Linked DNA regions of Danio rerio. The protein of the gene in region 2 interacts with the protein of the main gene of each other region in a pairwise test. Links are inferred from orthologs where the notes say so. Each region holds a gene or a part of one and is shown on either strand. Other genes may lie near its edges.

The links.
Region 1: the proteins of lmo4b (region 2) and grhl2b interact in binary tests that used the Homo sapiens proteins (3 or more experiments, as listed by UniProt). The two-hybrid records come from large-scale screens. The link is inferred for Danio rerio from reciprocal best matches to the Homo sapiens genes LMO4 and GRHL2.
Region 3: the proteins of lmo4b (region 2) and rbbp8 interact in binary tests that used the Homo sapiens proteins (3 or more experiments, as listed by UniProt). The link is inferred for Danio rerio from reciprocal best matches to the Homo sapiens genes LMO4 and RBBP8.

What each region holds. Positions count from the first base shown.
Region 1 is NC_133194.1:13,345,487-13,349,151, reverse strand, and holds part of grhl2b (grainyhead-like transcription factor 2b), read right to left. Parts: intron 2,892-3,665; coding exon 2,827-2,891; intron 2,748-2,826; coding exon 2,390-2,747; intron 2,311-2,389; coding exon 2,252-2,310; intron 2,147-2,251; coding exon 1,990-2,146; intron 1-1,989. UniProt on the Homo sapiens protein: Transcription factor playing an important role in primary neurulation and in epithelial development. Binds directly to the consensus DNA sequence 5'-AACCGGTT-3' acting as an activator and repressor on distinct target genes.
Region 2 is NC_133181.1:28,416,814-28,420,478, forward strand, and holds part of lmo4b (LIM domain transcription factor LMO4b), read right to left. Parts: intron 1,331-3,665; coding exon 1,234-1,330; intron 900-1,233; coding exon 744-899; intron 1-743. UniProt on the Homo sapiens protein: Transcription cofactor. Plays a role in establishing motor neuron identity, in concert with MNX1, acting, at least in part, to disrupt LDB1-LHX3 complexes thereby negatively modulating interneuron genes in motor neurons.
Region 3 is NC_133199.1:39,963,090-39,966,739, reverse strand, and holds the end of rbbp8 (DNA endonuclease RBBP8), read right to left. Parts: intron 3,265-3,650; coding exon 3,177-3,264; intron 3,070-3,176; coding exon 2,928-3,069; intron 877-2,927; coding exon 773-876; 3' UTR 512-772; downstream 1-511. UniProt on the Homo sapiens protein: Endonuclease that cooperates with the MRE11-RAD50-NBN (MRN) complex in DNA-end resection, the first step of double-strand break (DSB) repair through the homologous recombination (HR) pathway.

The DNA.
Region 1 (3,665 bases), on a different chromosome or scaffold from region 2:
GCGCCTAAAACAGACAATAGTGCAAACAGTGCTCCCATTTCTGTGTCCATGTTGTTGTTTACAGTGAAGGCTGGTCTGTTGTCTTCCGGTAGAGTTGAAGCCATGTGTTATAGTCATGTGATAGGGGCTTGACGAATAAGGGAAGGTTACGCAATGAGACAAAAGCCCCAATCAGCTAGCGAATCTTGGCAGCCCCGCCGTTTTCAGATGTCTCCGTTTTCCCTCATCCACACTGAGACGGAGCAGCAGCGTTTTAGAATGAAAGCGGCCTCTCCAGCGTTTCCAAAATGCTCGGTTTTTGGCACTCGAAAACTCCAGCGTAGTGTGGACGGATGGCATAACTGTAGCAAAACTTGTGCGTTTTCAATCTCTGGCTCCGTTAGATAAAAAGCACAGTGACAGACAAGAAGGAAGCAGATCTCTTGTAATGTTTGTGAGAAATACTACAGTAAGAACTTTCCCAATGATTATTTGATGTATTTGTTGTGGAGTTAATTCAAGCCTTTCTGCAACGATGAGTCACACACAAAGTCATTACAAAGTTCACGCACACACATACAGACACACACACATAGCAGACACACACAGCGAGCGAGTTTAACTTTGCACTGTTATTGCACAACAAATGTGACAGGATACACGTTAATATCCACTGCAATATGAATATTTGTTATGTTGATGTACAAAAATAAACCTGATTTAACGTCCACAAACCAGGATTGAAGCGTTGTCTTTTATAATTGTACTAACATGCGGCTGTGGTGATGAATTATAGTAATTTTACCGTCTTTAACTTACTTTATTACAAACAATCACTGTTTTAAACTTGTAAAACTCATTCTTAATTACATTTGATGATGATTAACGAGCACAGAGAGCTCAAAAGATCTTTTAATCCCAGTTGTTTTGCACACGTCCTGTCTTGTTGATATGATTATACTCGTTACTATGGAGATATGTAAATATGTGGCTGTCAATCAAATTGGTGGGCGGGAAAACTGCACTCCTATGTCCTATGCGGTGGGCCTAAAAACAGGAGGGATTTGGATCCTAATTTAACGTCAGAAAATTTAAAAAAAGAGACTTATTGTATTTAGATCACCCCAATATGACTTTGGACACACTATACCTAGTTCTGCCCAAACAGCTTACAAAAGATGATTTTCATCATAGGTGCCCTTTAAAACCATAGATTACATGACAAAGATAAAAAAGAAAATTCCTTGACTTTCAGTGTCTGAAATAATCCTATTAAAATGCCATGATATTCCAAAAATTCCATGACCCGTGGGAACCCTGCACATACTCAACAACCATGACTGGGTTTGATATAATTAAGTAACATTGTGAATTGTTTTTATAAGTTCATTTCCCTTAGATTTTCCTATAAAATAGAAAAATATATATTTTTTAAAATAGAAAAAAATATTTAAAGGCAAACCTACATTTTCAACAACAGTCATCATTAGTTATCACAGCTAAAAATAATACGTGCTAAAGCATTTTAGAAACTTGCCAATTTTGCTCAGGATTGTTTAATAAATATGCATTTCAAAAGAACTCCATTTAATTCATATAGAACTCTTTTGTAACATTATTAATCTCATTTACACATTTATTTTTAAATAATATATTTTATCCTTGTAAACTGAAGTATTCATTTAATAAAAAAAAGAAAAAAGTAAAAAATAATTACCGCTCCAGAATGTTAGTTACAGCTTACATCCAGTGTTGTGTTTATATTTACTATTGTGTTTATTTATGCAAAACCGTGGTCCAGCAAGACACAACATTTCCTTCCACTTTATGCCCACACATGTACCGTAATGACAATAAAGGTCATTTTGAATTAAACTTGACGCGATTTAGAGCTTTTAATAAATTAGTATACTTAATATAATGATATGAAAGTTAATTAAAACTCACAAACAAAACTTACCATGTCAGGTTGCTTAAATAAATAAATAGAAGTAGTATGTAGCCACTCACCCTCACTTTGCTGATGGGATGTCGAAGGCGTTTATTAGCACTTGTCTCACTTAGTGTAATAGCATAGAACTGGCCCTTGTTCAGATAAGTCATAGGCCCCTCGCCCTGCTTTTGCCGCAATGACTTGCTGGCCTCTAGTGTGTATTGAAATGTGTCTCTGTTGAACAACATTAGAGCATGTTTTTTTTAGGTGTGTGAGAGATAAATCATTATAATAATAAAAGAATATTATTTTATATAATACACTAGTTATAACACTTACAACATATGTGACTGGTCAAAAATGAAGTCATCAGGTCCAATCGAAGACGAGCGGTACTTCTGCAAAAATAAATAAACAAATAAATAAATACATTTTATGGCAAACTTTTATAGACTTCAGATATGAATTCGTTCTCACTTCATTGCTGTCATCTTCATATGTGCTTTCTGGACTACTGCGATGGTCATCTTTTCCATATGCACTGTGATTTATGGTGGAGGTGTCGAATGAGTGGGTCTGTTCACAGATGACCCGCATCTGCTCCTCCCCTTCTGTCCTGTAGTGTCCCCCTGAAGTCATAAAGACAGCAGTGTGCGCTTCAGCTTTTACCACAGCAGCCGTCCCGCTCTCTCCAGCCGGCACGCTGTACTGTTCCCGTTTATTGTCCTGGTGATCCGTGTTGAGTGACAGATTAACAGGCACTGATTTCAGGACTTGGACATGATTATCCACCGTCTCCGGCTCCATTTGGCTGCTGTTTCCCACTGGTGTGCTTCTGAAAAATTATTGAAGTGTTATTCTGTGCATTTTTTTAGTAATAACAAAAGCATTTATTAAACATATTTATCACCGACCTCTTTTCCGGTTCGTCTGACATTTCAACCACTTTGCTGATAGGTACTCTCTTATCTTTGGGCACCTGTACAAGATAAAACATTGATGTACAGAAGCACTGATTATTCAGTGTTTATCACTCCATAGTGATAATCTCATTGCTTCCGGAGTGACTTTTAATCTGTAACTTCCATAATAAGATGAAGCATTATTTCACCATATCTTTAAAGAGATTGTTCACCTAAAATAGAAATGTACTCAATATTTAATCAGATCCAAGTGGTTTATGATTTTTTTTCCTGTTGAACTAAAAATAAGATTTTCTTAAGAATGTTGGTAACTGGTAGCCATTGACATTCAGTAGAAAAAAATATATATTATAGAAGTCAATGGTTACTGGTTTCCAACATTTTTCAAAATACCTTCTTTTGTGTACAATAAATGAATGCAACTCAAACTGGTTTAGACCAAGTTGAGGATGAGTAGGAATTTTCATTTTTGGGTGAACTGTCCTTTTAATGCGCTCGTATGTTTTGGATAATGAGGTAAAGTGACATAATTATGATCTAATTATGTTTTTGTTCATAGGTCAAAAGCTCAAAGCTGAAAAATCAAAGAATGCTGAACATCTATAGCATCATTATAACATTACAGTTCAAGTAAACCAATTGCAATTTGTATCTTTCATGTGGCACAGATCTTATATGACCCACTAACATTTACGGAAAAAAAACACATGGATTCTGATATTCTCTCATCAGTTTCAGGTCTCGTTTTTATCTGGAAATAAAACTGATTTGAATTGAATATATGCACTTACATCTCATCTGTAAGATTAGAAATTCAGATGTCATTGAAA
Region 2 (3,665 bases):
TGCTTGTATGCAGTGCAAAAGTAAATTAAAACAGTTTTTGAAACAGATAGAAAATTTTATTTTATAATTTGTCTGCTTGCCACTACCAATATTATCGTAAATAAGTTTATTTTATAAACTTATAGATATTTTAAGAACAAGAAAAACCGAGCACCCACTTAAATACAAAGTAAAGGAATAACCTGCAATGCACTGCCTCAGATGAAGACAGTCTTACGTTTGACAAAGCACATCTCTCCAGCGTTTGTATAAAAAAAACTAATAATATAATAACAATAATAAGTAAATAAATAAAAAAAAAACTCCATTTAAGCTTGATTAGGTGTCAAATGTTAAATCGCGTAATCACACTTGCAAAGTTATATATATATATATATATAATAAATATATTGCTGCAATATATTTTCTGGAAGAATTGTGTAGTGAATAATGCCATCTCAACATACAGTTTTTTCTTTATAGATTTGTTTTGTTTGTTTGTTTGTTTGTTTAACTGAAGATACTCCCACAATGTAAAAAAATACCTGGTTGCCTTAATTGTTTTACATTCATTAACCTTATGAGATTTTACCTTTAAGCTCCATTTAACTTCGATTTAAGCGAACTGTTATCACACAAGAAAATTTTTTTGCCCATATGTGAAGCCAAGCTAACAAGTAGTAGATTTAAAGTTTTCCATCCAGCAGTGATATGTTGATATGTGAAGTGATAAGAACAATTAGATGACCGACTATGGCTCTTACTTTCTGGTCAGGCAGTAGAGGGTTAGTCTGCAATGAACTCAAATGGCCATTGATGAGTGCTGTGGGTCTGTCGTGTTCACAAAACAAGCTGCCGTTGATGTAGTGAAACCTGTCACCAGGGACAAGCCGGTTCCGGCAGGTAGAACATGTGAAACACTGCAGGAAACAAAACAAAAGAACTACATTACACACAATCCTTAGCACATTACTTCCTACACATAACCTGCAGAACATTTTCTTGAAAGGTGAAGCTATTATTCCTTTTTGTTTTTTATTATTTTGCAATTATTTTTGTGGAGGGACACAGAAAACATTGATTAAAATGTACATAAAAGGCATTTGATTTGATATCAATTATAAGCTTATGAAAAACTATTCAACAGAACACCTTCAAACAATCAGAAAACTCTGTGGAGTGTGAAAGGATTTTGTAATGCAATTGAGCATTTAATTTTAGAGCAGCAGTGGTCACTTCTAGATAAAAGGTTACCTTGAGATGGTACACGTTTCCCTGTGCCCTCATAACCAGTTCACTGGCTGGGATGGACTGACCACACGCACTGCATGCCCCACTGTTCCCAAATAACCTGGGAAAAGAAATAGAAAACATGTTAGTAGTGCCAAAGCAACATATATCCAGAGCACCGAATATGTCTTAGACGAAATAGCTGAAATCTATGAAATTGTAGTATGATTTAAATGACCAGCAAAATATGGTAGATCTCAATCAATCAATATAATGTCACACCAACATATCATGAGCAATATTTACTCATTAATATGGTCCATTTATAAATTTATATAACCCATGTAAACAATTGCAGTTGTCCCCACAATTTATTTATTTGTATTTTTTTTCCAATTCAGTGACATTTTATCAATAACTAATTGGATGATGCTCTTTAAACAACCCTACTGTATTAAATAAGAACTATTGTTACACTACCATTCAAAAGTTTGAGCTAGGAATGATTTTCTTTTTTTGTTTTTAAGAATAATTTACTTTTATTGAAGTTAATGCATGGCTTCTGAAAAACATTAACAACTACAAGCACGAAGATAAATGTTTTTGTAGGGTATATATTGCATACAGACTCCCTTGTTGGTCATTAAGAACTATTGTTACACTTTTTTTTTTTTTTTTTTTTAAGAATTTAGTTTTTGGTCAGGTTAATGTGTATCTGCTGAATAACAGTACCAACTACTTGTACAAATGCAATTAAAAGCATATAAATTGCATCCAGACAGTTTTTTTTTTTGTTTTTTTTTGTCTTTTTGGAGCTTAAAAGCTATGATCACCATTTACTTTCATTGTATGGAAAAGAACAGCATTAGCATTTATCAAAATATCTCTTTTTGGCTTCTATGTTAGAAAGTCAGTCATATGGCATAATAACATCCTATTGTCGACTAAATGACAAAACCATTAATTTACTAAATGACAAAACCATTCATTTACTGATGACTGAGATTGAAAATAAAACACTGGATATGGACAGTGCAGTCATTAATATAATGAATACTTCCATGTGCATCAGCAAGGTTTATTAACCTGTTTGGCCTTGTTTTACTGTAACAATGAAATCCTTGAGCAAGTACAGGTTAAATCATTTCAATCTTGTTCCAGGGCCTCCTCCTCACCCTCTCTCAATCTCTCTCAGTCTCTCTCTCTCTCTCAGACACACACACACACAAGCAGAACAAATTACATCTTCAATATTCTGATGTAGAAAAAATAAAATCATAGTAATATCGCAAACCAAATGAAAAAATCCTGCATCCTGTCCTCCAAAAGCCTCTACCACTGGGACTAAGTATTACCTTTGGTGCTCATTTTTTGCAACCTAATAATAACCTAGAACATAAGCAATCAGGGCCTAAGAATATTTGATTGTACATCTAGGCGGAGACACAGCGCTTTTGCCATTAGGACTCAAGCGAGTGCTCAGTCACTGCCGCCTTTCCATTAGAAACCCTCGGCTACCCGGGTTGATATATAATGTGCATGGGTTAACCTTTTCAATCATGGTGTCAACACTTTAGATTTGCTTCTGCTCATCTCTTTCGTCTCTAACCTTCCCTCTCTCTCTCTCTCTCTCTCACTCAGTCTCTTGATAATGAAATGCTTGCTCCTGCTTCCTTTCTATCTGCCTTCTGAGTCCACAATTTAGATTACTTCATCTTGCCGAGCAACAAACTGAATGAAATTTCGATTTGAGCAGAAAGTAATTTACTGGGATCTGGACCCATTTGTCATCATATCTCACTGGCTGTTTGCTCTATCACTGCACTTTTCCTATGCAATCAAATAAGACCACAGCATCTGACAAGCTCCAGAGAGAGAGAGAGAGAAAGAGAGAGAGGGAGAGAGAGAGAGAGAGAGAGGGAGAGAGAGAGAGGGAGAGAGAGAGAGAGAGAGGGAGGGAAATATGAGGAAGGAAGCAAGAAAGAAAGAAAAAGACTGTTAAAAGGAAAGAGGGAGGGTAATGGGGAAAAGACACAAAAAGGATAGAGGGAAAAGGGAAGCATTGCAAGTACCTTCCGTATGTAAACAGTTACAGATTAACCTAAAAGTTCAAGGATGATTTGGTCCCTCAAAATGCTTCCAACTGGTAAACCGGTAAACGTGCATTGTGTAGACTCTGATACTACATCTGCCACACATGAGAACATGTGCGTTCCGACACTGAAACAGCTGTCACCTGCGATGTTTTGCATACACGTGTGGTGTTTATTGGGGCCGCTACACAACGAGCAAGTGAAGCTTTAAGAGTTTCTCTTCAGCGGTGGCTGTAGGGTGAAGGGGGGAGGGAAAAACAAATTTGGCTGTGGCATCGATTGGAGCAGCTCAATCAAAACTCAATTTCAAACGTAATTAGCTGTAGGCTTGTGACAACAGCGCGGCTTCAATGGCGTCGATGG
Region 3 (3,650 bases), on a different chromosome or scaffold from region 2:
AGTAAAGTTTTTTTTTTTTTTTTTTTTTTAATTAAAATGTGGCATAATCACTTATTACATCTGCTTTTATAATACAGATCACAGTTAGTATGTTTACGTAAATGTTACAATGAATTTTACCAATATTCAAAAAATTATTTGAAACATTAGACACTTGCATTTATTGTATTTTTGCATAACGGTGTTGAGTCACTTTTTCAATGTTATGTGATGCACTGTGTTTTTAGGCCCATAAGTTGCCAAAATGGGATTTAAAAAAAGATGAAACCCACTTTTGCTATTTGAAATCAATAAAAAGTTAACTTTAGTATAAAAATAACAAACTAAACAAGAGTAAATAGAAAAACAGGAGAAAATATAAATAACTAATAAAAATGTGTGTAAGAGTGTTTCCCAAAGCTGGGTTACAGCTGGAAGGGCATCTGCTGTGTAAAACATAGTTTAGGAATAGTTGGCGGTTCATTTCACTGTGGCGACCCCTGATGAACAAAGGGATTAAATCGAAGGAAGATGAATGAAATCACTTTTAATTTTTATTACAGAATTATTCAATTCTTAGTCAAAATCACATGTACAAAACTAAAAACTCTTTACTTATTTCTGAATTCCCATTACAAAATCAAGGTGATTTCTTAAAATCTGAAAATGAATTACTTAAACACAAACGCACATAGATTGTTTTAAGCAGATGTGACTCGGGGCATAAGCAGACTGTGCTTCATATCGATCCATGAGGTGTCAGAGTGGTTTTTAAGTGTGTGAACAGCTCGACTCAGTGCTTCTTTTTTTGTGATTTGGCTTTGGGTGAAAACATGGCAAGGTACGGTCGTCTCCTGCGAATTCGCACGTCCGGCTGCTCATCCTCTTTGATGTATCCTGTGGGGAGAAATAAAGCGATGAACATTACTTAAATGTTTCAATGCATTCATATACAGCAAATCTCCGACTACGATATACACAAATAAGGAATAACAGAAGAATGGCCATTGATGTATTGGTTAAAAAAAAAAACAATGCACATCTGAGGTGGTCATGATGTAAAGCGGCCATTTCACATTAGGTGTGCATTTTTCATTCATTCATTATAAATTATAAATATGAATAATATTATAAATGTTATACGTTATAAATATGAATAATATTATAAATGTTATACGTTATAAATATGAATAATATTATAAATGTTATACGTTATAAATATGAATATTAATATAAATGTTATATGTTATAAATACCAATAATATTAAAAATGTTATACATTATAAATATCAATATTATAAATGTTATACGTTATAAATATCAATAATATAAATGTTATACGTTATAAATATCAATATTATAAATGTTATACGTTATAAATATCAATAATATGAATGTTATACGTTATAAATATCAATATTATAAATGTTATACGTTATAAATATCAATAATATAAATGTTATACGTTATAAATATCAATATTATAAATGTTATACGTTATAAATACCAATAATATTAAAAATGTTATACATTATAAATATACATATTATAAATGTTATACGTTATAAATATCAATATTATAAATGTTATACGTTATAAATATCAATATTATAAATGTTATACGTTATAAATATCAATAATATGAATGTTATACGTTATAAATATCAATATTATAAATGTTATACGTTATAAATATCAATAATATAAATGTTATACGTTATAAATATCAATATTATAAATGTTATACGTTATAAATACCAATAATATTAAAAATGTTATACATTATAAATATACATATTATAAATGTTATACGTTATAAATATCAATATTATAAATGTTATACGTTATAAATATCAATATTATAAATGTTATACGTTATAAATACCAATAATATTAAAAATGTTATACATTAAAAATATCAATATTATAAATGTTATACGTTATAAATATCAATATTATAAATGTTATACGTTATAGATATCAATAATATTAAAAATGTTATACATTATAAATATAAATATTATAAATGTTATACGTTATAAATATCAATATTATAAATGTTATACGTTATAAATGTCAATAATTCTACATTTTATACGTTATAAATATGAATAATATTCTAAATGTTATAAGTTATAAATATGAATAATAATATAAATGTTATTTGTTATAAATATGAATAATATTATAAATGTTATATGTTATAAATATCAATAATATTATAAATGTTATACGTTATACGATATATATTTTGTCATTCTTTAGAAAACAGTATGAGCAGTCAGAAAAAGTCACAATTTTCTTGTAAAATAAAATGATGTATAAAACTATACAAAATTATGCATGAACACATCCCTGTGTAAAAACCCTTCAGAATATAGGTATGAATAAGACTAGTTTGTTGCATTAATGTAAATAAACCATTGCAAGATTTTATGGTTTAGAAGAGAAAAATAGCTTATATATATATATATATATATATATATATATATATATATATATATATATATATATATGTATATATATATATATATATGTATATATATATATATGTATATGTATATATATATATATGTATATATATATATATATATATATATATATATATATATATATATATATATATATATATATATATATATATATGTAAATTATATAATTATATATAGATTATAATTGAAATCTAATGTCACATCTTTAAGTGCATTTTGGATGTTTTCTATACATGAACTGAAAAATCATTATTATTATATTCATATTATATTAAATTATATAATATATATATAAAAATTATATTATAATATATTAAAAAATACATAAATAAATCTCAAACTTCATGAATGTAATGCTATTCTAATCCAGCCCAACTAAATAATGAGCTTAAAAATTGATATTTTATCATTTTGCCTCTTTTTTTCTCCCTTTGTCAACCTGACGAAATTTAGTACCTCTTTCCACGCAGGTCTGTGTGGATGGAAATCCCACCTCCCAGAAGTTTTCTGGTGTGGAAGGAGGAATGTAGCGGTAGCGATGCCGTGAACAGGAAGTCAGTTTTTTCTCTCTCTCTTCCTCTGGGAGATCTGCATAATACTGAATCAACAACAGCATAGTTTTAATAAAAATATTAAAATGATCAGTGCTGAGATTATTTAAAAGAAGGAGACGTGTGTTTGGTCAAAGTGTACAAACTGACTCACAACTTCACACTCTTTACAATAGTGGCCTTTCAGTTTTCTCCTTTCGTCTTTCTTACGCACAACCTCCACACAAGCGAAAGACTTATTCCTGGAATAGGGTTATTCAGATTATTTTCAGGCTTTAGCACCACAATCATTTAAATGTTTTTCCCCCTCTTTTATTGTACATTGTAAAATCAGTGTTGTTACAGAAAAGTAAAATTTTATTGAAAGTAGTTCTGGGCAAAATTAATTGCAATTAATCACATCCAAAATTGTTTTGACATAATATTTATATTTAGGGATTAAAAAAATAAAAAAATAAAAAACTGCCCTTATTATCGGCAATGGGATCTCTTACATACTCTAAGAATAGAAAATATTCGGTTCACAATAAGACAAAAGCCAGAACAGTTCCAGAAAGTCTGGAGCCCTTTTCTAAAAAGATTTTAAGGAGACACCAATATCTTAATTGCCTTTTTTCCCTTTCTTTTT